2 linked regions of the Drosophila melanogaster genome follow. Changing the gene in region 2 together with the main gene of any one other region gives a genetic interaction. Each region holds a gene or a part of one and is shown on either strand. Other genes may lie near its edges.

Region 1 (12,943 bases), on a different chromosome or scaffold from region 2:
GCAACTGACCGAATCCAGATTGCATCAGTATGTAATCAATGATGGCAGGCAGATCGAAAATGCCCATCTCATGGAACGAAAAGTTCCAGAAATCGGAGTCTTCGGCGGAGTAACGAACATGGCGTTTCGTATAGGTATTACCCCGCACATTGGCCATCCAGACGTCGTAGCCCTGCTCGTACAACATGTATCCTTTGGAAGAAAATCATTCTGAGTGCACTTAAAAAACGAATGAAATTCGATTGTACCTAAGGAACTGGAAGGACCCATCATCACCCAGGTATCGGAACTGTCCATTAGTCCGTGGACCAGCAGCACAGGCAGGGCTCCAGGACGTGCGATCCTGAAGAGTCCCAATAAGTAGCCATCGTCACTCTGCACTGTGTAATTCTCCGCCGGGTATCCATATTTGGAAATCAATTGTATCTGCAAAAACAGGAGAAACAAACACGGCTTAATATAACTATTCGCTAGAGATTTGCCCTTAAATACTTTGAGTGTACGTAGTATTGAGTGTACGTAGTATTTAGAATACATGAGATTATAAAACTATGACCAATCAGCGAGTAATCCGACCTTTATAGTAAGAGCTATAACCTAGAAAGCTATATATGTACTTACACTCACACAAATTGTGTCTATATCTACAGATGTTTTATAAGTCGAAATATAATGCACTATATTAATCTAGATTTTTAGATCTGGATAAACTTCCTATGCTTTATTCCAAATGTTACTAATCGTTGGAACCCGAATGATTTTTGAACTTACCGTATTCAAGTGTGCATCTTCTAAAACTGATGAAGGTATAGCCAGTTGAAAAGGATTGAAAAATGCATTGGCTTCCAGCTGGAATAGGCCCAAAAAGAAGGTCCATATAAGAAATTTCGAAGACGATGATAGAGACATCTGACTTTATTAGAGACAAACTTTACTAATCCGATGTATACAAGTTCCAAGTGGAAACTGAAGCAAGTAAAATTTTGGGATACTAAAAAAGATTGTACGTAGGCAATAAAAGTGCAACACTTTAACCTATGAATAAAATTTACATTTACCGCTTGGGTCTCAACTTAAATACTTTCGGAAATAAATATCATTCATGTAACTTAAGCAAAAAGTTTGTTGCTTAGCAAAATCGAATTAAAAGATATATACTAATTTTCATATCAAAAAATAGGAATAGAAAAGATGGGAATTAATATTAAAAATGTATTAATTGTAAGTTGTTTTTATTGGCTTTTATCGTTGTAAAATTGTTGTAAATCGTCTTAGTTTCTACTAAACAATAAATACCTAACTAATAATAATATACTGTGAATAACTAAATTATAACCATAGTTCTATTCCCCTTTAGATAATTGAATTCTCATGATTTCGCATTATTTCCAGCATTCGATCCCACAAAAGTTCCCGGGCATCGATGCCCCAAATGAAATCCAAGTGGTTGAACTCCTTGTCGTCCACCAGATATTTCTCCACGACATTGGGCAGCTTGCGGTTCAGCATTTCCACATCCTCCGGCGGAGCCAGCCAATCGTTTTGGCCATAATATAGTGCCACCTTGGCCCGAACATTCTCCAGGTGGTAGGATGGCGGGTCAATGGTTCCGTAGATCCAGTGGTTTCTGAGCCATCCGTGATCATACTGCCGGAAACCGCCAGATCTGTTGAGCTGTCCAAAATGCTGCATCTGCTTGGTGGAGGCTCCGGCCGGAGAATGACCCACGATTACCGGCAGCATAGTCTCGTTCAGCTGGAGCTTGTCGAATCCGGTGGTCAGGAAGATGACGTTTGAACAAATCTCTTTCGTAATAGTGGTCTCGTCGCAGATGATCCGGTTGAACATGCTGATGAACTCATTCTTAGGCAAAAACTCGTGAACGCCAATCAGCTTGAGGACCAACTAAAATATTAAAATAATATAAGTTAACATGAACAAATTGAATGAGAAGAGAAGGAGAAAGATGTTTTGCACTGGATCGTGTTTATAATAAACAATGATTAAATTTACATTAAATTTGGATGTATTCCACTGCAAAAACGCTCTTTGAAAGGATGGGATAATTAGGATGGGGTAACTTACGCTCACCGATAGATGCCACTCGGCCAGGAAGTTGACCACCGGACTGCGGCAGTGCTTGAGGAATGCCACCGGTGCCAATCCCTGCATCAGAATGATCTTGTCCATATACTCGGGCTTCTCGCTGGCCATGATCCAGAACACAACGGTTCCCTGGGAGTGACCAATGTAGTGCAATTGGCTTACGCCCGTGGAATTGAGGATGTAGTCCATTGTGGCGGGTATATCATGCTTTCCCATCTCGTGGAATGTAAAGTCCCAGAACTTGGCATGGTGGGTGCTATACTTAACATGCTTTCTCGAGTACGTATTGCCACGAACATTGGCCATCCAGACATCGTACCCCTGATCGTAGAGCAGGTAACCTTTGGAACAGAGCAACGCAATCAGCATGGGACATTTGGAGATAGCCTATGATCTTACCAAGTCCCTTGTTCGGTCCCATCATCACCCAAGTGGCTGAGCTATCCAGTAGTCCGTGCACCAGAAGCACTGGCGTTGCTCCCGGTCTAGCGATCCTGTGCAAGGTGAGGATGTATCCATCATCCGTCTCCAAGGTGTGATTCTCCGCCGGGTAGCCGTACTTTTTTATCAGACTGTACTGCAGAAGGGAAAAGAGACGAGGTTATTACAATTGTACTAAGAACAACAAATTTTCTAAGTGTAAGTTTCTATCAGCGTAATCGTTAATTTAACGATTAAATTGATATGTCAATTTTCAATAATGTAATTACTTTTCTTAATTATTAGGGAGAGGTACGAAAATCAAAAAGCTTCCTATACAAACGTAATATCGTAAAAATAAAGCGATGACAACATCTGACTAACTTTTAAACGTATACATTAACACATTTTAGCAGCAAATATGTACTATTACTACTAGATCTTTTATTGGCGTTAACTTTTTCCGACTATGGGTATTAACTTACGGTATTCAAGTGTGAATCCTCCTGAATATTGGGATCCACATCGTTCTCCAACCGCACATTGCTATCCACCGCCACGGATCTTCCCAAAAAAGTTGGTGTTTTGAAGTTAACATTAAAGAGGGTTATATCTCCGAGTGATAATGATATACCCTCGACGATGCCCGACTGCAGGAGGCACAAACTAAGCGCTACAATTAGCAATTTCACCGACATTATTTCACCGATTTTACGACTAATCTCAGCGGTTACACTCGTACTACTATTATAATACAATAGATATATGGGATCTATGGCTCGGCGGATGCGATCGGTGCGAGGCACAATTGTTGACTGATGGCAGTCCCGATTGACGGCAACAAAGAAACCTTCTGTGAACGCGAGAAATTCGACACTTGCCCACACGACATATGTATTTTCGAAATAATCAGCACTTCTCGTACAATACTTTCGAGGGAATTGAATCACTGGGGCACAGTGTTATAGCTACATTCAACCCACCGATAACCTGACTGCCTTCGTCACTGGCCAATCGATGATAAGCCGTGGGTCCGGCTCGCAATGGTCTTGACTTTGGAATCACTTACGCACGAGATGTCAAAGCCGCCGGCCCCCAGCGGCAACTGAAGAAGATGTTTTGTCGTTATACCGATTTTGATTTCGATTTTGATTCCACACAACCCAAGGGGATCCACCTTGGCAACATTCGCTCGGCGGGTAAACAAACAATTCAACATGTTGCCAGGCCAATTGATTCGCCCAACTTAACTCTCCGCATGAAAAAAAAAAATAATAACAACTGGTTGTTGCTCTGCTCAGCCGGAAAGAGAAAAAATGTGAAATATTATTAATTACAACCACGCGTTGTGAAAACTGTGATTCATTGCTGGCTCATTTTCCAGATGCATGCAAATCAACTAAAACTATGTAGTATCATTTTCTGACCTCAAGTTGTAATCTTCAAAACATAAATTCTGTGAAGATTAGCACGGATTTTGAACTAATCAGGCAAAGTCCATTCCCGAGACTATAAATAAATACCACCAATTAAACTATTCATCTAGCTTAGCAGACCTTTGAATACTTTACTTGAGTTGGAAAATTCATTACCACTTTCCTTGATCTCCAGCATTCTTAATTTTTTTTGATTTCATTAGTATTATATTAGTTTATTAAATTAACCTGTACATCAAGTAAATCTTTATTGTAAATTAAGATTTCAAGCCTGAACTAGAACTAATAAATAAATGTTTTAATGGGCATGTTATTAATGGGTCACTCGTCAAATTAGTTTATGTCTCCTTTAGCTTAAATTAAAAACGTAAGTGCTTTTGCGTAAATCAAATTAAATTTATTGCAGAATTTGTTTCTTCGTAATGGATTTAAAATCAAGCGGATTAAGTGATTTCTAATGAAGGTCTTTCGCCGTAATTGCAAAATAAGTTTAAGCAACAGAACTGTCTTCAAATAAGCATGCTGCCTTAATAAATAAATCAAAATTAATTTAACAAATAGCCAAAAAATCTACTTTTATATCTTAAAAAAGCTTGCACATTATTCATGAGATTGTAAATATAAACAATCAATATCAAATCTTATTTTTTGTGGGTTAAAATAGTTGAATCTTGTTAGTTGAATATAAAAGTCCACACTTTGAAAATTTCGATGAGCTTCTTTAAATTATAAATATTTAAATTAGCACGGCAGCTAGTTAAATTATTCAAATTAGTGCACACTTTTTCGAAAATATTATACCTTTTGTGCTTTGAATTTTTCATACTTGTCGTTCAATAATAACCTTCCTCATAGTGAACCCAAAGTTTTTGGTCAACAAGTTGCTCATACGCAAACTGCTGGCAAAAAAAAAATACAGACGATTACTTATTAATTATTTACCGATCAAAGTGCAATCAACGACGCCAGACGGGTGAATATGAGTGTTATTTTTGCTATTTATACACATTCATAAATTTTATCGCACTTTTGCTGAGGGCGTGGCAAGGGCACGATAACCACCGAATCCAAATCGGACACACGAATTGAAATTAATTTTGGAAATTTCGTATTTGCTAGAGGTAAACACAAATGCTGTGATAGAGATGAATTGGTCGAAAATATGGAATATAGGCTGTCCGCTTATCTCGCTGACCATTTGTGGGAGTTGAGTTAAGTAGAGCCGAGTGTTATTCAATTACTAAGTGTAGCTCATTCTGCATTTAACGAGCAAATAAACACGCACTCGCACACAGTGGCAGTATTACATGCACTCGCAGAAAATTGTCTTAATTTATTTGTATATTTTGGTAAATAACGAAATACAAAACGAAACTAAATGATTCATAATTACAAACTTATATTGAAATATTTTCAATATTTACATAAAAGTAACCATAACTATTCTTACCTTTTTGCTTTGATTTTTCTCAGTGTACATACGCAGATACAGCTACATTTTGCGGCGACAGCTACGCACTTACTTGCTATGCAAATCAGAGCGAACAATGCGCAGTTCATTAAATGGACTGCTGAGCATAAATGTATAAATTTATGCATGTTATTATCGCCCCCATCCCGCCCTTTGAACTCACCAACAATCGGACATTTGCAATGTCAGCTACAAACTGCATTATCATATGAAAAGCTATTTTCGACTCAAAACTCGTTTTGTTTCGGCAACATTTCGCAGCTGGCAACATGCTGCCATCACTAATCGAGAAATTGACCAATTCAGTGACTTTTAAAGTCAAGTTTCAAATTATCCACTGTACGATTCAAATTTTCTGGTTGCAAATATTGAAATTCCCCTGCGAAGCCCTCAAATTCGTGGTATTTTTGGGCACATTAATTTTCCGCTTGGGCATTTGAATTACTCACCACAAGCCGCAAACGATTTTCACTGCCACAAACTGACACCGATTGACTTAAAAAGTTACAGTCAAACTTTTATTAGTTCCCAAAGAGGAGGGCACAAAAGTTGGCATAGAAACTGAGAGAATCAATTGAAATCCAATCACAAATATTATTCAAAAACTATGTGAACATGAGACAGCAGAAATAGTAAGTGCAGATAATGTCTATCTAAATATTTGTGAAAAACCTAATGCGATAAGAGAATAAATGTTTCATTAAATGGGTCAGGAATTAAGTTTGCTTATTTGCAAGCAACATCGTAGAAAATATATAATAAATAGATTATAAAGAGTTTACATTTGTTAATTACGATTTATAAGAATCGAATCTTAAATTACTTAAATGTTTTCTTAGCAAATACTTAAGTGGTTCTTAAAAATGCCATTTCTTGGGCGTAAATTGTATTAATAGGACTTTTACTTTGCCAGTGGCAACAAGTTGAATTCCTTTGCCAAAATGCTAAATACTTTAACTTCAAAAGAGCCCCCTGAAGTACCAGAAAAGCACACACAAGAAATCTGTTGAATCATTGAAACTGCGACCTACTAAACACTTCGCATCGAAAGGGAGCGAAATCAATGTGCAAATCTCATAGGATGCGGGTGTTTTGGGATCCCTGGAAATGGGGGAGGGAAATGGGTACGAAGGATATGATGGGGAATTCCCTCGTCAGAAGACAAATTTCGCAAATGCCCGAGTGCCAGGCTGAGCCTGTGTAAGTGCTCAGTGTGTCAATGTGGCAAATGTATCTGTATCTTTTTGTATCTGCACCTTAGTGCTAACCCTCCGAAACACGTACGCAGTTCGTAGTACTCAGCTCGTTGCTCGGATCAATTTCCAGAATGAGATTTATGCGCTCGCCAAAAAGGGACCATAAAATATTTATTGTTTTCAAGTTGCAGGGCCCTGATAAGCGGCTGAAAAGGCAATAGCAGGCGCAGGATAAGCGAAGTCTGGCTCAAGGATAACAGAACAAAGAGCAACAGGAACAATCCTTATCCTTATCCTGTAATGCGATACCCGTTCGATTGGCGGCAAAAGAAGGGGGCTTGATATATTACCTTTAAATAGAAATGTATTTTCATGCCGAGCAAGAAATTAAAATGAGAATGGTTCTTGTTCAAGCAACTAGCTTGAAATTTAAATATATATTTCTTATATTTAAGCCTTAAAGGCACCAAATTAATTATAGAAAAATTTCAATTACATTTTGTATCCAATTTTTTCGCACATTTGCACACGTAGAATTCAATTCAAATACATTTAATTCAATGCGTCTGAGCTTAACCCTTCATTGGCCGCAACATCTGCAGCGATTTATACAAATAATTAACTGTCAACTGCAGGCACCCTACACACACGTCGGAATTTTCCGCTTTTCCAATCCATCCTGCTCAGCGACACCTTGAGGGATCAGCATCAGTCCTACACTGGAAATTATAGGCAATTCTGCTGGCTGCCGCTGCAAATGTGAGAAATGAAAAATGTAAATAAATTTTTGACGATTGTTTGGCCACTGAGAGGCGGCAGGGTGATTTATAAAAATGTGCGAGGAAAAATGATTTCTGCACGCCTCAGGGCCGCTGACAGGCCCAAACATCACCCATCACCCATCATCCACTGCCGCTGCTCCAGCTGCCAAAGTCATTAACTCGACAAACCGCCGACGTCAACCGAGCAGCTAGAGATGGCACACATATCAATATATCATTATATCATTATAAGGGATTTTCCGATTTTTGACAATGATCAATATGGTATTTATCCCTAAATATATAAATATCACCTATCTTAAGAATGTTCATGCTCTTCTATCTGATGTATTCTGTGTCCAAAAGATATTAGTCCTATACCATCTGATTTATTAAACTAATTTATTCTCCAGGTCCTAAAACATGTGATATAGTTATATTAAGAAAATAATTATCACTAAAATATGTTATGGTATAAGTTATTTTAAATACTTTCAAGCTCTTTTTAAAATGATTTTGAAATTGGCTTCTAATAGGAGACTGTTGCAAGATCTGTGTTAATGTTAATTGAATGTTAATGAGATTTGGTTGCACTGTTTTACTATATTATTATTAATATTATTGTACTACACGTAATGCCCATCTCCAGATGCGCAGCGGCAGCGACGTCGGCAGAGGCGAGTTATGTGTAAGTGGAGCGGAAGTGAACCCCACACACACACACACACACACACACACATAGGGGTCGTACTGCGAGGGGGCGGGGTAGAGGCGCGGTGAAGTGAAGGCAACTCGAAAAATGTTAAGGCATTCGTTATGTCAACAAGCAACAATGAGCAAGTGGAAGTGGAGGGAGGAAAGGAGGAAGGCAGGAGGAGGAAGGAGGCTGGCAGGGAGATCCTTGTTAGGCACATTACATCACTCATTTCGAAGCAGCCTGTGCGCCTGTCGTCCTTGCCGAAGTGCTTGTGTTTGTGATTGTAAGTCGGGAGTTTCCTAACGACCAAGTTGCCTCTGCCCCAGCATCCTTTTTTAATGAAGTGCAGCTCCTGTTTTCGCCACCGGGCCCACTTCCTTCTTCATTTTTTTTTTTCCATTCAGCTTGCAATTGCAACCAAGCGACAAATGCCCATTTGTGGTGGAGCAACCGGAGTGCTCAGGGAACCCAGAACCCAGAAAATCCGGAGGAGTGGGAAAGTCCGGGATACCGGGATCTGGAACTCCGTCGACTCGGTGGCCTTTTCTGCTTTGTGGCACGTTCACGATTCCTGTTTGCGTTTTGTTTTTCAGCCTTTTGCCGTTAAAGGTATACAAATCTCTCGCTTCGGTGAATCCCAAGTGGAAAATGCGTTAATTGGGCATTAAATGGAAAATTCGTTGACGCGGTCTATTTTTTTCTTTCCATAAAGTATAAAGTATAAGTATTTTCATTCTTTCTCATGTTTTCTCGAAGCATTTTTCAGTTTGCATTTCATGTAGGCGACTTTTATGAATTTAATAGTTATCTCTCTCTTCTGTTATATAAAATTTTGATTTTTGACTTTCATTTGCCTCTATAAATCGCTAAAATATTAAGTTTTAGTTGACAGTAAGTTCACTGCGCAGACAACCTCATCGCATCCAACTGTGCCACCTGCTGGTTCAATCAACTAATAAACTTCCCTCCGCCGACGGCGACTGCAAAGTGATTATTGATTTAATTACACATCAAAGTGGCGCAGAAGATCACGGAGCAACGATGGGTGGTAGTTGGCAATCAATGGCTATATAGAACGAGGTACGTCATCATTACCGGGAACCAGGAACCAGGAACCGGAAACCGGGCACCAAGAACTCGGGGCTGCTGCTGTCGTCACTATGCCAATGTAATAAAATGCTAATGAATTAATTTTCGCAGGAACCTTGCAATAAAGTTGACTTCCCCTGCCATTTTGCCGCACTTAACTGCTGCTGATATTTAACATTTACGTTGGCCCGAAGACATGAAGGCGAGTGCATTAAAATTTAACGAACTCCTATTAGGCGGGGCTGCAAAATGAATTATGCATTTAATATTATTATTAAACATTTTACTAGACCATCAAAGACGGCTGCAAATATTTGATGTTGTTAAATTTTAATCATCTCATCTCTCCCGGCCGCTGTTTGCACAAGGGAGCAATTCGAAATGAAAACGCTCCCTAAATAGTTGCATTAAACAAATATTTCGGATGGCAGAAAAGGAGTCGGCGGAAGTAGGCAAAAGCAATTTCCTAGTCACAGATTTGATTTTGTTTGTCGAAGCGGTGCGGCATAAAATCGTTTGCCAAACGCCAAATGCCAAAGCGCCCAGCTACAGATGATGCGGTATCTGTGCGATACAGTATCTGCGAGATACATTCGGCTAATGAAATGCACGCTCCGCCATTTCCATTCCCATTCCCCTCCGGAAAACTGGGCAAATAATCAACTCCGGAGCGGGCACAACAATAAGGACCACAGACGAACCGAGCTGCCTAAGAGCTCGTAAAAAAAAAAACTCACCGCACGATAAAAATCAAAGGGAAATATCTGCCAACTTGAGTTCAATTCGATGGTCAAGGAACTAGACTCGACTGTAGGATACCCAATATGCTGTAAATTGGCCAATCAAGTGTAAAAATGTACTGAGTAAGTTATTTTAAATAATAAATTAAAACATGCAAATAGGAGTATACATTATTATATTATTATGTTCTTATCTAGGTGATAAGGAAACATTTGTATTATTATATTTTATCATAATATATAGATTTTCATAGATCTTAGATTTAAAATGGCCTAATCTACCCTTTCGACTTCCGGAATACCCTAGCGGAGAGCCCGCCTCTGCTGACCGCAAAGCAAAACTTTTTGCGTCAGATTTATGCGGCAATATTTTGCTTTGAAATCGCTTCGTGTGGCCAACACGCAGTGCCACCCCCCGCCCACTGCCCACCGCCCACTGCCAAACCACCCAACTATTCAGTGGAGCACAAAGACAAACACAAATACAACCTGTGGCATTCATTCGCCTGCCTGAGTTTCGGTTAAACGAGAGTTCTATTTACATTTTGCGCTCGAACGCATTTCATCTTTATCTTTTATGGCAAGCCGAATGGAATCGAGGGGATGAGCATCTAAATTTTAAATTGAAAATTGATTTTCCCCCCATTCCTTGCTGTTTGTCTAGCATTTGATTTTTCCCATCTAACACTGCGCGGATTGGTCAGTTTTTTTTTATTTATTTTTTTGCGATTGATTCCGTCTTTGGGCTGCGGGTTAGATGGAAGCGGAATTCTCTACGAGATGCCGAATCCGAGGGGTTGGGGATTCGTCGGGGGTCGATTTGCCAACATAAGTGCGCGCCTCAGTGACTTTCGATTCCATATTCAAGGATTGCCCACTCTGATTAATTTTTTCTGGTATCGTAAATATGGAAAATGCAAGGCAAATGATAACCCCAATCCGAGAGGCCTTCGCATTGGAAAAGATTGGATTTCTTAACTGATTTCAGATATATATGAATGTAAAAAACAAGGTTTTCCCTTTTCTCTGCACTTTTCCGATGTTTTGCTTGCTTGCTTAAAAGTACATACTTTTACTTTTAAAAAGTAGTTCGTATTAACCAACTTTTCGTTCTTAAAATGCAGACGTTTAACTTTCAGCTAACAACTTGTCCTATATCATTTATTCATTTTCCTACCCATTTTGTCCAGTAACTTAAGATCCCAGTCTATAGGCATTCCTTCAGTCTCTCCACAAGGTAAGTCAACTTTTTCCAACCCTCTTCCGAAAATTCTACGAGTGAGCTTATTGATTTTCTGTGGGTCTTATCTAAATTTGCTGTAACAGTTAGCGGGTAAATTTGAAATATTATTAAGACAAATATACAGGGAGTGCAGGAATGGGAGTCTTTGGCTCATGGAAGGCGGTCATAAGCCTATGAAAACGTTTTTATTAGATCCCTGCACGCGCCCCCAAAAAGAAGAGTGAGGGGGGAAAACCGAGGAAATCGAGGGGGTCGCCAACAGTTTCGCGTGTGTTTGCACTTTTCCGGCCGCTTTTCCAGCTTTCCATGGGGGATGTTGGTATTGTGTTAAAGAAATTGATAGCCGGCGACAAATCATACCTTGAGAGAAGGTCGAAGAACTGGAGGCCTGCACTTGGGGTGGCTTGTGGCTCCACGGATTATTTGGGCCGTAATGTGGTGTTGCTACTTTGTTGTTGCACAATTTGCCGGCCTGCTAATAAAATTTGATAAGCCAAAGTGGAGCAGCAGAGCGCCAGACGAGTCAAATAAAATGTTTACCCGCTGCACGCAAATTGGGGATAAATTTTATGTAATGCAGGGGGAGTGACATCCAGACTATCCACCCCAGATTCACCCTGGAGTTGCCCCCCCAAAAAAAAAAACACCCGGCAATTGCAAAGTTAATTTGCGCATAAAAATGTTGCCAGGGGAGTCATCTCTGGCCTCCTTCGAGGATTAGCCATAAAAGTGGTTCGCCAGTTTCATTTTTTTTTTTTTTTTGTTTTTGTCCGTCCCTTTGATTTATGCCAATGTGTTTTGATTTGCGCCATTTCATTCTATTCTATTTGATGATACCCTGGCCATTACCATTTTCGGTTTGATGCATGCGAAATGCATTTTTGATGACAGTTAATGGAGTTTTTACTGTCCCACTCCCCCTCCCCACCAACGTGGACTTTATGTGGAAGTAGGGTTTTTTTTGGGGGGGCACTCGCTAAATTTCCATTCCCTTCGCTGACTTGGCACATTTTTTGATGTTGGCCTTTGGTTTTTGGGGCGCAGTGCAAATGATTCCGGGGGTTGCTTGGTTTCATCAGAGGAATGGGTATGGGATTGGAGGCCAGACAGACCAACTTTGGGAACGTTTTTATATGGTCTGGATGGTTTATAAGGATTTTTTACATTTATGGGCGTATAAAATATACAAATTGGCGAGCTAACAACGTTTTTAGAGGTCTCGTGCTTTCCCTTAAGGGCCTGAAATTTACGAAAGAAAATATGCAAAATGAAAAATTATAAAGTCGAATGGGAAATCATTTAAACTCTTCACTTTCGAAAGAAATACTCAAATAATTGAAAAATTTTTAAATGTTATGTTCTTTAAAGGCAATACTTTTTCAAACTACGCAAATATTTATATTTCCAATTAAACATTACAATCACATTCAAGCATAAGCCAAAATTCCATATGCACATGGCAGAGATTTGCCTCCATTAGGCGATCCTATTGCCTCTTTTGGGCTTACTGGCCGACTCAAATGTAAAGTCATGCCAAATATTTGCGCACACAAAGCGACAAAGTCAGGGCCGAAAGGCAAAAAGGACATCGTGTGGGCAAACACACTTACACCCGCACACCCACACACAAATCGACAAACACCCACTCACGCATCTGCATAGCAAACAAAAAGGAAAGTCTGCAAGGGAAGATGGGGAACTGCGAAGGCGGCAGTGGAGCCAGGACACTTAAATGCTGCTCAAAATTGGATTTGGGGCAGCCTAGAGAAGTGGGGCAGCCCACA
Region 2 (12,943 bases):
ATCCGGCTCCGACGAGGGAGCCTCGGCTGCTGGACAGCCGGAGGAGACACCAGCGGCTCCCTCCCAGAAATCCATTGATTCCGGCAATGGCGCCGAGTTTCAAATCACTTTGAACGAGTTTCTAGAGTTTCTAAAACTATCCTGTCATGTGAACGATATGATTACGAAAGCCGACATGGGAAAACCACACAATAGGGAGCCGATACCGCCGATGGAGGGCAGTGCGGTGTCAACCAAGAGAGCTACCAAGAAGGACGAGTTCGACTTTGCCGAACTGGCGGACAATCCACTGGTCAACGAGCTCCTGGGACTGCGACGACCCTCGAGGAGCTCCAACGAGAGTCGCTCTAGTTTGCTACAGGATGCGAAATCCAGTACATTGCGCTCGGGGCACAGCCACCACGGCCGCTCTTCCCGTCCAGAGTCGACCTATCGGGGATTGCATCCCAAGCTTGGCGAGCAACTGGATGCGGCCATTAATGAGGGAGTTCTGGACTCTGTTCTGTCCTTTATATGCCCGGTCCCAATGCCCACACAACTCCAGAATGGCAAAACTAAGCCCAAGCAGCTGCAGCCTCCGAAAGAGCTTCTCACCCAGACATCGGCCACTACCACTCCCTATACGAATCCCATTCCAGCGGCAGCTCCTCTCACCTCGGGAGCATCGAAATCCATGATGGAGATAGGCCACTCACATGGGCCTCTGCCGGCAGCCACTCCCTCGGCTCCTTGCCTGCAGCAGGCTCATCCCGGAGGAGATGCTCTACATTCGGATCAGATCACCAACAGCATGGTGCGGGCTATGATTAAGGAGCCGATTCCGAAGCCTGGTGCAATGAACGCCGGCAGACGCAAATCTCTGCTGCTGGTCAAGGATAGCAAACATGCCAGGCAGGAGCGAAAGGAGTAAGTACCATGTATTTACAGGATATATATGTAACTCAAATTGTTTAACAGGCCGGAAGTGGTGATCCACGTCTGCGACGAGGTGAAGAACACCTCGAAGGACTTCACCTGCCCGCAGCATTTGCTGGTGACCAAAATGGGTTACTTTGCGGACGTGACTGCCGGTCAGAGATTGGAGGAGATGGACATATCGGTGCACTGCGACATCCTTATCTTCGATTGGCTGATGAAGTGGATCAAGCACAGTGCCCAAAGCCAGGATCTTCCGGTTCCCACTCAGAGCACCGGTCCCCAGTTGGATGGCAACAATGTGGTGCCCATTCTGGTGTCGGCCAGCTTTCTGCAGATGGAACCTCTACTCCTTGAGTGTTTGGCCTTTTGTCATGCCCATCTCAGCGAAGTTGTACGAACATCCACGAATCTGTCCTGTCTGAATGATGCATTGGTCAGCCGACTGGCGGCCATGTTCACGAATCTCGAGCTGGAAATGGTCAGGGATAAAAAGGAGCGAGTGACACCACGTCTGTGGACCAAATTGATTCAGTCCCTCTGCGAACCGGATCCGGAAGCGCTAAGGGGACACTTCTACAGCATGTCCGGTCTGTTCCGTTGCTCCAGGTGCTTCAATTGCGTGACCAACACTATGAAATCCTATGTGAGCTGTGTGCCCAGCAACATTCGACTGAATCGCTGGGGCCAATTGATGAGCCACCACGTGCGGGACACGAACTGGGATCTTAATGTCTACATCGTTCAGCTCTTCAAGGAGCTCAAGTCTTGGCGCAAGGTGTACTGGAAGTTATGGGGTCACTGCCATTACCTGTACTGCTGCTCGTGCGAGGCTCATTTTCCGGTCTATCAGATGCACTGGTGTCGCTTCCATCCGGAGGCACCCAACTTCCTCGGTCCCGTGGGCAATGCTGGACCCGCCGGCCGCTTCTCCTGCTGCGGTCAGCAGGCATTCCGCTACGAAACGCTGCCGGGACCAAATGTATGTATATATATTTCCAGAAACTAATACTACTGCATTGAATATTCGTTACTTTTTTAGGGCTGCCAATTTCGCGAGCACAGTGTCCTGGTGGAGACGGATAGGGAGCGTGCCATCCTGGCCATTGCTCAGTTGGTGGGCGAGAACTACGCCTTGTGCGAGCAGCCACCATTGAGGATTCAGGAATTGGCCGCCGCCGGCGAGATCAGTCCCAGTTGGCAGGGTATCTCCCTAACGCCACAAAGATGTCGCCAGGGACTTTTGCCCCAACTCTGCATGGACAGTGTGCTCAAGAGAGGTGGGTATGTGTGCTTGAAGGTAATGTGCTCCGTACTCAACCCTGCTCCATAGTGACCAACCATCGTGTGAGCCGTCGGATGCGAGGATCTCGCTATCAAATGGACACCAGCACCGATTCGGAGACGACGTCCACCAGCGAGGATGATGCTCGATGCCTGCGGCCACGCATGCGTAACGTTCACGATGACGACGAGGACTACAGTACGAGTAGCGATGGCTGCGAGTCGGAGCATCGTCCTCCACCAAGGAAAACTAGAGGCAAAAAATCACGAAAGCGGTAAGGATTTTGAAATATTGAATGTATATGAAATAATAATTACCTGGAACTGTTTGGCCAGTCCCACCGATGTGTCGGGTCGTTTTTGGTCCGGCGAGTTGTCAGCGCGCAGCAACCAGGATCATCAGCGCGACTTCGAGGAGAAGATCATGAAACAGGTCGCCAATTATGTGACCAAAAAGACCGGAACGGATCAGTGTCTGGTGCAGAATGCCCAACCGCTTGGTGGCTCCTACGTGCGACTCGAGTCCGAATGGAAGGAGATGCTCAAGCAACGTCACAGCCATCACACGATCCAGGGAACCAATGCCACTGGCACATCCGTGGCTCAAAGCAACAGCAGCTGCCTGGGATCCGCACTTGCAACTGGTGGCTCCTCCGTGTCCGTCATGTCCAAGCAAAAGCACAAGTAGAAATTCGTATTATATGTGTGAAGTCATTAACTTATTGGATTCGCCAGCAAGCATCGTAGACCAAATATTTAGTGACAGATTATTAGTCAAATATTTAGTGCAAACCATAAATATTCACATTGAAATGTAGAAAAATTAAATGAATATGTAGAAGAATATATATATAAATGATTATATCTGGATGATATCGATGGGTTCTATTTTACTTTCACGTTTTGTGCAATTATTTGGTTTGTAAATCACCAAGAATTTGGATTTTATTTCAATTTTGGCATTAGACAGAGCCTTAAAAAATGGATTAAACAAGAATTATAGTAATATACATTACATATCTCAATCAATCTAGGGTAAATTACATTTTCCATTCTTCAGTCTAGGCATGATTTACAAAAATCTATTTTAAGTTTGCAGCCTCTTCTTCACAAACCGAAATCATAACTTCTCATTAGACATTTATTAATATTTTTATTTATTTATTTATTAACTTAACGCAATTTACAAAGACTTCGATTTGTTATACACTCCTCGCCTTCACATTTATTTTGTTTTGTAAATCATTTTTGTTTGTGTTTTAGTTTAAGCTTGAAATGGAAAACAACAGTACTGTTTAAGAAAGAGCCTGCAAGTAAATGCGACTGCACGTAAATTAATGAAACAGAACCTGGGTTCAATTACATAACACCACATGCTCAATGGGGCGCGGGCATGGCCTTTGGCTCAACCTTCTGGTGACCCACCCAGCGGCAAAGATGTGCACATTAATCATAATAAAATTATAGAACAGATCAGAGAATTATTATAACTACAGGGCAATGTAATTTCGTGGATAAGATTTACGAAAATATATTGGTGCGTGAGTGTACAAGAATTTAGCGTGATTGCCGTTCTGAAGGATTGATGCTGAAGTTGGCCGGTGTTCTTGGTGCTGCCACCGCCGCGAATGGTACTGATGCTAGTGCGGCTGGGACAAGCTAACTGAACAGGCCCTCGGTGGCCTTCTCCAAATTCCAATTCTCCTTGGAGAGCACGGCGCGCGCCTCATGCTCGTCGATGCCCATGTCCCTGAGACGTTGGATCTTTGAATCACAATCGGGAAAGGTGTGCGGTCCGCCCGCATACGCGTTGGTCCAGTGCTTGGCCGTAAGCAGGAACAGATCGTACTTGTCCTTAAACTGATAGGCCACCACTGCGTCCTGTGGATCGTCCGGCTCTGCGGCGGCCAGGAGCGCCTGCAGCGACAGCAGTACGGTGCGCAGTGTCATCGCTGCAGCCCAGTTGTCCTTTAAGATGTCCAAGCAAATCGCACCCGTAACCGACGATATATTCGGATGCCAGATGCGCGTTATGAAGCGTACCTGCGAAGAAGTTTGCAATTTATTTAGGTTTCAATTACAAGTTACAGGTTCTTATTGCGCCTTTCAGAATTCAAGTTAACATTGTGGATTCATAGAAGTGTCACTTTCTACGAAGTGAAGTCATAAGATACGATTTTTGAAAGATGAGGTGTACTCATGTAAGAGTTGTTTATTTCTAAGCTAGCATATTGTATAGGTGCACAAAGTCTGACATGGCTATTACGTACCTTTGGTGGATTGAAGGGATATGTCTCGGGCACCTTGATCTCCAGGACGAACTTGCCGCCCTCGTAGGGCGTGTCAGGCGGACCGGCGATCTCGCCGCGCAGCTCCGTCCAACTGTCATTGACCAGTTCGATTTTGATGGAACACTGGACGATCTGTTCAGGGATTACAAGCCAAATTAACAAATCAGTGGGGCCAATGTTTACATTTCACAAAGAAAACGGAGCCCATAAGCGCGCCAAAAACGCCACCAACGTTCGCGGACACCCTCCCCCGCCCCCTGCACCACGACCAGGGGCGGTGGTGCAGCTGGCATTGCCGAGGTGCCGTTTGAGTGTCCTTCGGCCTTGGAGCTCGGGACTCACCTCCTCGCTGCGCATCACCTCCTTGAACTCCCGCTTGATCCGCGACACTGCCATGTTCGCCATGATGTTTCCTCCGTTTCTCGGACTCTCCTTTCTGCTCTCTCCCTGTTCCCTGTTCACCGTTCTCCTTTCTCCGCCGCTCCTCTTCACCACGCTCTTCTTGCTGTGTTCTGTTCTGCCTCTGTTTTTATTGTTGCCCCCCCGTGCAATTTTGGATTTTGTGAGTGTTGTGCGTTGCGTAAATTACGCCTGGCTGTTGGCCTACAAGGTTGCTCCTTTCGATCGCTTTTCGAATTGTCGAAGCAACGAGCTCGACCAGCGCACGGAAAATAAAAAACTTATTATTCCAATTTCAACACGAATCTGACTTTTTACAGCGCTCAGCACGTCTATTTTGCCAGCGCTATTTCTTTTTTGTTTTTCCGTAGTGTGACCGCCGCGGTGCATTCGGATAATTCTGAAAGCTCGCCTATCGATTGACGTATCGATAGGGCTTCGGGGAAAGAGCGCGAAAATTGCTAACGAAGTTCGAATGTTCAAATGTTTAGCATATGAATAAATAACTATTACATAGGGACGTAATGAATTGGTGCTACTTGCTGCGAGCCATATATTGCCTAGATACGCCCTTAATACTACCCAGGTACACCCACTTCACTCAACTCATAACTATTTAATCATATTAAAACCTATTAAACATTTTAAGGAGGAGTCTTCTTCTTAACATTGGTCCTCCAATTATGTCCACTGGATGACATGATGACTTTGTTTCCCTGAAGGCGACATATCAGAATCTGGGAATCTTAACCGACACATTTTCCTAACTCGTTTCGATAATACAAATGAAAAGAAACAAAAGCAAAATCTACATAAAAATAACCATATTTACAAACTACTTTCCTAATAAATTCAGCTAAGCCCCATACACGAAGTACTCATTCTTACCTCTTTGTTGATAAAATCTATTTACGTTACAATGATTGGCTGAATCAATTCCAAAGTTGGTTTTTGTACCATTGGATAAAAAAGCCGCAGCTTTTCCTTGGCACACGTCAAAGGTTATTTTCCATTGCGTCTCTGATCTTGAATACTGAATACATGGCCTTATTATATAATCGAAGTTCTTTTGACCTCAGTAATATGGTTCCATTACGCTCGCCCGCCTTGTCTGCGGTCGGAAATTTGAAACTTGTTTTGCGCCCCATAAACAAAAACAAGAAGTTTAATCTTCTAAGGCGTAGGTCTCTCTTGGCAACAGTCCAAAAATAATAGACAGCCATTAATTATGCGCCATACGATCCTGTGTTTATAATGGTTATACTTGGAAAAGGGGTACACGAAGTGTTACTTTATTCACATTGCAATTTTAAATCAATATGAGAGAACTTTACCTAAAAAATTTTTAAGTGATAAACAATTAAGTGGATTACATTTTCAGCAAACTCTTATTAATAAGTTGAATGTTAACAAAATAAAAATATGATCAAAAAAATTAGAGGGCATATTTCATACCTGAAAAATCATTAAAGTCGACATTCTCTTTTACTGCTCAAATTCACGTTTCGCACAGCTCAATGGCGATCGAGAAAAAAACGTGTCAGCAAAAGCGTGTGGGGAAGTTTTGAGAGCCAACGCAACAACAGTTTTCGGATAAGAAATATACCCAATAGACATTCGGAGACTAATTAAAACGGAAGAGCTTCTTGCTTCTCCAACTCTTTGGACACACGTGTTTGTGCTCCCCTTTTGTGGCGCTCTTTCGCCACAAAACAAAACGAGTGACCGACACAAACAAATATGCCGGTTCTCTTTTACTCTCCCCGATATTCCCTTTCGAAGCATATGTATTATGACTGTGTGAAGAGGGATGCGTTTCCTACCCCATAAAATAACCAGATAACCAAAAGATACATTTATTGTCTTGTAACGTAAGGGTATCCATGCTTCAGCTTGATTAAATCAACTCTCCTCTGCGTTATCTCTTGCTCTCTCGCACCAAACAACTCCATAAACAGAAACTCAACTTCCCTCGCTTAAATTCAATTCAAAAGCGTTCTGATTCATTCAGCTTTTGCATTTTCTGAGCAGCGGCTGCATCCAAGTGAAATCACAAAGTACAAGTTTTTTTCGACCAACTTGTACAAACCGCATCGTTCAGTGATTAATAGTTTGTAGTTTAAAAGTAATTGCGACACTTTGCTACCTCACATGTTTCAAGTAAGTCCAGTATGGTGTACTACTCGATTTTGAAGTGTGCGTGCCTTTGTTTTCGCCTCGACTCAAAACATGCGTCGCATTCGGCACGTGGTTTTTGCCCCACCAACCCGCTATCCACGGCTCCATTATTCCTGTACTTGCAATGCCATTTGCGTCAGTTTTTAGGGATAAAACACGGAGAAGAGTACGTCAGCATTTGGCATTAGTTCATTTATATTTAGCCATGGGCACGAAAATAACAATTTAACAAATCGCAGTGTTTTTCTGCCGCGTTCGTTTGTTCAGCATCCCAGGTACAGTTGCACAAACAACAAGAAAACATCTCGGGGGCAACAAAAGCAAAGACGAGCCCCCGTGAAATGAAAAAGCAAGAACTGTACCTCGGATTTGAGATCTAGAAAACAAAACATTTCTGCTGGTATGTACAAAGTACATAGCAGAGATATTTGCAGAGCAACAATTATCCAGAACCAATTGAAAGCGGCATACAGCACAGATACACAGACAAAAAATAAATTTCTAAGTATGTGCACAAAAAGAGCCGCATGCATATAGGTTTTAAAAGTGGGAAACGCAGCATTAAATGTTTATTATTGTCTCAGATATTTAGGGTTTTTTTATGTTATTATGAATAGGAAAATATATTGACAGTCTTATGGGGCCTTGGAAATTTATTACCCATTGAAATATATATGAAACAATTTTATTGCATATCTGTGTGTTATTAAGAAATTACTGAGTTGTGCAGATGTAATGAAACTAAGCCGCAATTTTGTCTTACTTTAGAAATGAGGTCTGTGATTATTTTATAAAAAAAATTAATACTTATTATTGAAATTTTCGCTCTGTGTGACGTTTTACATATCTAAAATTGCAACATGACGTATTAAAAATTCTATGGAAATTACCTATCGAAAACAGCTGATTCCGAAAAAGAGAGGAAAAGTGCGTCCCGAAAGCTTTTCCTTGTGGCATCAACTTAACTGCGCATCATCCCATCCTTGGCGCTCTCTTGCGCTCTCTCGTAAAATATGGGTGTGTGTGTGTGTGGGCAGCCGGTGCGTATGTGTAATAGAAGCATACGCCATGTTGTACGGCGCTCAGTTCCATTCGCTCGCTCAATTTCGCCAGATGCGGCGCTCTGCGGCTGCTAATCCCAATCTCCCATTGTCGCTGAAACAGTGCACTTTTCACCTTACCTGGCGCAGAACAGCTGAGTGCGTCTTGTTATTAAACGGGTTGTTCAATCAAATAGTCGGCGCTTACCTGTCGCAGAACCTTCATCTCGGGATTTGTTTTGTGAATAATGCCCGATAAGAAATGCACGGAGAACGAGCAGAATGGTGCGTAGATTATATCCTAGAATTCACATTCCTTTCATTTCTGTCCGCGTGTGTGTGTGTGGTGCTAGGTTTTCATGGCCAACTGAGGGACATCCGTGGAACAGCTGTTTACCTCAGCCTTAAAAGCTTTTTTTTTGGCGCGCGCCTGTTGGCATGCCAGCATATTTTATATGTTAAAAGAAAACTCATAGATTTTACGGGTGTGACAACAAGCTGTTTATCTATCGAATATAATCAGTGTCAATTTGCAATTTATATTTATTCTTTTTCATGTTCATATGTAAATTTAATAGCAAACCGAGCCAAAATATTATAAATATAAAATTATTTGCAATGAAATAGGTAAATCCTTGCTTTTTGAAAGGCTAATATTGTAATAGTGCAATCCCATTAACTTGTTTAGATTTATACTGAGAAACACACTAGGAAATTCGAATTGATTAATGAAAATATTTAAAATTATAAAAACCTATCGCACCGCTTTAGTAGTCCGGAATCGAAATCGATAGCTTTCCAGTTCCCTGGAGAACGCGTAGAAAAATCACATGGTCTGGATGGGAATGGGGGATAATTGGGGTGGCTTTACAGAAAGAGCGAGCGAAAGAGAGCGCAGTGCGCAGCAAAAAGCTTCGTTGCTCTCTTTTACGCTCTTGCTTTCTCACCGATAAGGCGACGACGTCGACGTCGCTGCCCGCGTTTTGGCGAAAAAAATTTATAATAAAAACTTCTACTCATAGATTGTGTGATGCCAGTTCGCTCTGCTAATCCGATACGCGCTAGAAGTTTGATCCGAGACAATTTGGAGAAACAGGCTGGTTGTCTAAATTTAATCCACTCCAGAATGCCGAACATCAAAGTGTTTTCGGGCACCTCGCATCCGGATTTGGCCCAGCGGATAGTCGATCGCCTGGGAATCGATCTCGGCAAGGTGGTTACGAAGAAGTTCAGCAACTTGGAGACCTGGTGAGTAGTCCTGCAGGAGAATTTCCTTCGCAAATTGCGTGTGTGACCACCAACAAGTGTTTAACGACAACGGACAAATGTGTTTTTAAAGTGCGCTAATTGAGTTTGACGAAAAAGTGTTTGGTCTGCAAACACATGTGCTCAAAAGGTCCTTGACATTCGCTGAAGGTTGCTGGCGTTTCGCTGCCACAATCAACAATGGGAATCTATGGGAATTTGTGATTACCTAAAACTGAATGATTTTTCCTGAATTTTTGTGGCCTGCCTTTGGCTTGATTTCTTTTTATTTTTATTGATTTAACAAGTGGACTGTACACCGTCTTTGTCGCTATAGCCGTGCGTCTGTGTGTTTGTGTGTGTTTAGTGGCGTTGTGCTGGTATGAGTGAGAGTAACACACACACCAACATACACGTGAAGCTTGGCCAATGTCGCGTGCAATTTTCACAAAATTTAAATTAAATTTTTTTAAATCTTCCTAGACAAGAAATGCAAAGAAACCGAAAATGATTTTTATTATATATTTTTAATTAAATTAGCAGCTGTGTGTGCGTGTGTGTGTATGTCTAAACTTGCGGCTTGCACGCTTTTTGCTTCCCTCTCTCTCGCACGCACTCACACAGGCGCAAAACCAGCCAGTCAGCTGCTGATGCAACAACAACAATAAATAACAAATAAAGGCGCCCATAGTTTTTACCCCACCCACTAGCAAGCACCCTTTTCAGTTTATTTGGTGTCAACTTTCCATCGGTTTTTTCCAATTTTAATAAAATTAAACAAAAGCCCCATAAGCAAACAATTAGAGGAGGTGAAAAGGTGAAAGAAACAAACGAGGCAAACGGAAGAAAACCGAAACGAAAATAGAGGTTATAATACGCGCTAAGCTTTCTGACATGATACGCGCTCCGTCGGTGTGCGTGTGTTTTTGTTATGCTCGCACTCACTCGCACGCACACCAAGGTACGCGGCAGCGGAAAGAACTAAAGGCGGAGCAGAGTCGAGGCTAGGATGCCCTGTTCCAGGTGTTATGCTGTACAAGGTAATAGGAGTCGTGTCAACTTACAATTGTTTACAGTCTGATTTCTTATAGCTTGATATTTTATGATCCTAAGAACCAATTGAAGAAAGTACGACGTTCGACGAATAAATCGTAATAAATATTTTGTGAAAAAAGTTTCTTGGTTATAGAGTTAGACATAGTCTTATCTCTAAAAATGCATTATTTTCCAGGTTCCAGTTTTTAACTTTCTAATAATTCTTTACCATTACCGAAAGTTGAGACCCAATTTGGCTTACTCGCTTTTATAGTCGACATACCCGACTAAAGGAGGGTACCAAATGCCTGCGAGTAGAGAACCACAACATGACTCTGTCACGTTTTTCATTTGCTGACTGAACGGAGAGTAAGAGAACGCTCTCTTAGGGTGAGAGCGAAAGGGGAGCTTGAGCGCCACACAAGAGTCGGCATACGTTGCAACGTCGACTGCGGCAGCGACGCCCCCGCATGGTGGGCATTTGGACTCTCTTTGGAGCCCATTCTCCCGCTCTCTCTCTCTTGCTCTCAGACTAAGTGTCAGACCCCCACGTGTGCATAGTGGTTGTTGCTCCACTGTTGTTGTTGCTACAATATTTCTGTTTGCACTTGTCGGCTTTGTTTTTGTTGTTTATCCCATTCTATCACTCTCTGGCATTCTCTAGAAGCAGCGGTCAGAAAATCATGTTGACCGTTAAATGCGCTCTTTTTGCTCCAATTTACACTAGGTGTTGTTGTTATTGTTGCGGCTGGTGTAACGGTTGAACTTTTGCTTTTATATTTTTCATACTTTGTCTTGATTACTTTTGTTGATAATAGCGAACGCACGGCGTTGATGATAATGATTCTGTTGTTGTATTTCTACTCGCTATTGTTGTTGTGTTTGGTGGGGCGACAGGGCTAGAGATCAAGTTTTTAGTCTAGATTATGCTCAATTGAAGGGCGCCAAGATGACATCGCGAAATTTTAAACGAATGAGAGGTAATATTAAGACTGACACCAATTTCTTTTTGCCTAATTCGCTGATAATGGAAGATATGAGCATAACAAGAGAAGAGAGAAATAGAGAAAAATACCATTTAAGAACTATAAAAACTGGCGATACCCCTTTGTTTGGGTCACACGTGATTGTTCTTTATTTTTAACTTATCACTTCGCAAGCTTAATAAGAGTTTTTTTATTTATTAGTAATGCTGTATAATAATTTTATTGCAACCCTCAAACAATTAAGTAATCAATACAGAGGTCATAAAATGTACAAGTATCTAATGTTTTTTATGGCCGCCAACTAAGAAAACCCCCAAACGACCTTCGCCACAGGCCAAGAACAATTTCAGTGGCAGTTCATAATAATTTTTCAATAACCCCAAAGTGAGGCTCTAATTTCCAATTTCGAAGGTTTTGCCACACGCAATTCTAAACTGTTCTATACACCACCCCCTCCCTTGAACCCAACCAACCACCCACTGAAAATGTCAATTACTAAGCGTTTTTTTTTTGTTTTCCATTTTCGACTCTAAAGTTTGATCGATAAGGAATTTGCGTGCTTGTCTTGTGAGGTCGTTGTCGTATCAGCGAGCTTTTGAAAGGAAGGGGCCCGAGTTAATAGTGATAAGGAGCGTATAAATCAAGTGGAACCAACAGAAACTAAGCGAAAGCGATTTAGATTCCGCCCAGACTGAGATAAGCTTAGTGGGAGACAATTGGCAACAGTTTTTTGTACCTACAGTACGGCTTCTATATATAGCACGATATATTTCCTTAATAGTAAACTAAACTACCTTTTTAGAATACATGATCTTTGAAACAAAGTAATTAATCTAGATAGGTCCAGGTTTTCAATTTTATAACATGGCTTTAAATTTGATTATGTTTAATCTACGAAATCCGTACGATAAGCGAATAATAAAAGCGAAAAAGAATGTTCTAATCAAACATTTAGGAAAATAAACAAAATCCAAAAAAGTGTGAAACTGGTGATTTCAATTAGAGAAGTACGACTGTTTTTCGTTTTCATGCTTTATTTATTTTTTTTTTTTGTATTTTTCGTTTTACATTTCGACTCACATGAGTCTGTCGTCTGACTTGCGGACGAGGAAAGAGATAAAAATACGTAAAAAACAAAGGAAAACGAAATGAATTCTGGCTGAAATTCTATTTGACGGTCGGCCAAAGAAACAGCTGCTGGCTGAACTGTTGCTAGTAGTTGTTGGCAATGCGGCGGTTTTTCTGGCCCATTGCCAACTGTCTTGCCCAGCACACCTTTTTTCCACCATCCCCCACACACCCTCCCTTCGATTTTTCCCAAGATTTCCCGGCATGCTAACAATGTCACGGCGGCTAGCGGTGAAAGTGTTTTCCTACAGCCCCGGCAATCTATTCAAAAATGCATGATTTAATGCCAAAATGCATCCGGCCAAGGTTGATGAAACCGCTGCATTTAGCCGGTCCACATTGATCTTCTTGACCAGAGTCGAGATAAGGAATACATATGTATGTATAATAATACCAATCAATATTCCACAAAAAAAAAAAAAACCGGTCAATGGTATGTTTT

The links.
Region 1: of Prps (region 2) and Lip4, changing one suppresses a phenotype caused by changing the other (phenotypic suppression), as found in Drosophila melanogaster (one study listed by BioGRID).

Annotation. Positions count from the first base shown.
Region 1 is NT_033779.5:10,519,818-10,532,760, reverse strand, and holds Lip4 (lipase 4), read right to left. Parts: upstream 5,190-12,943; 5' UTR 4,972-5,189; coding exon 4,905-4,971; intron 3,634-4,904; exon of another isoform or gene 3,225-3,633; coding exon of another isoform or gene 3,200-3,224; coding exon 3,012-3,199; intron 2,684-3,011; coding exon 2,506-2,683; intron 2,448-2,505; coding exon 2,086-2,447; intron 1,906-2,085; coding exon 1,354-1,905; 3' UTR 983-1,353; downstream 1-982. Other genes in the region: CG18301 (uncharacterized protein), read right to left, coding at 1-192, 249-426, 772-909.
Region 2 is NT_037436.4:9,690,645-9,703,587, reverse strand, and holds the start of Prps (phosphoribosyl pyrophosphate synthetase), read left to right. Parts: upstream 1-8,146; 5' UTR 8,147-8,355; coding exon 8,356-8,392; exon of another isoform or gene 8,393-8,545; intron 8,546-8,882; exon of another isoform or gene 8,883-9,129; coding exon 9,130-9,355; exon of another isoform or gene 9,356-9,767; intron 9,768-12,943. Other genes in the region: CG6761 (uncharacterized protein), read left to right, coding at 1-906, 958-1,897, 1,958-2,195, 2,249-2,474, 2,536-2,887; Ubc4 (ubiquitin conjugating enzyme 4), read right to left, coding at 3,859-4,242, 4,470-4,622, 4,833-4,895.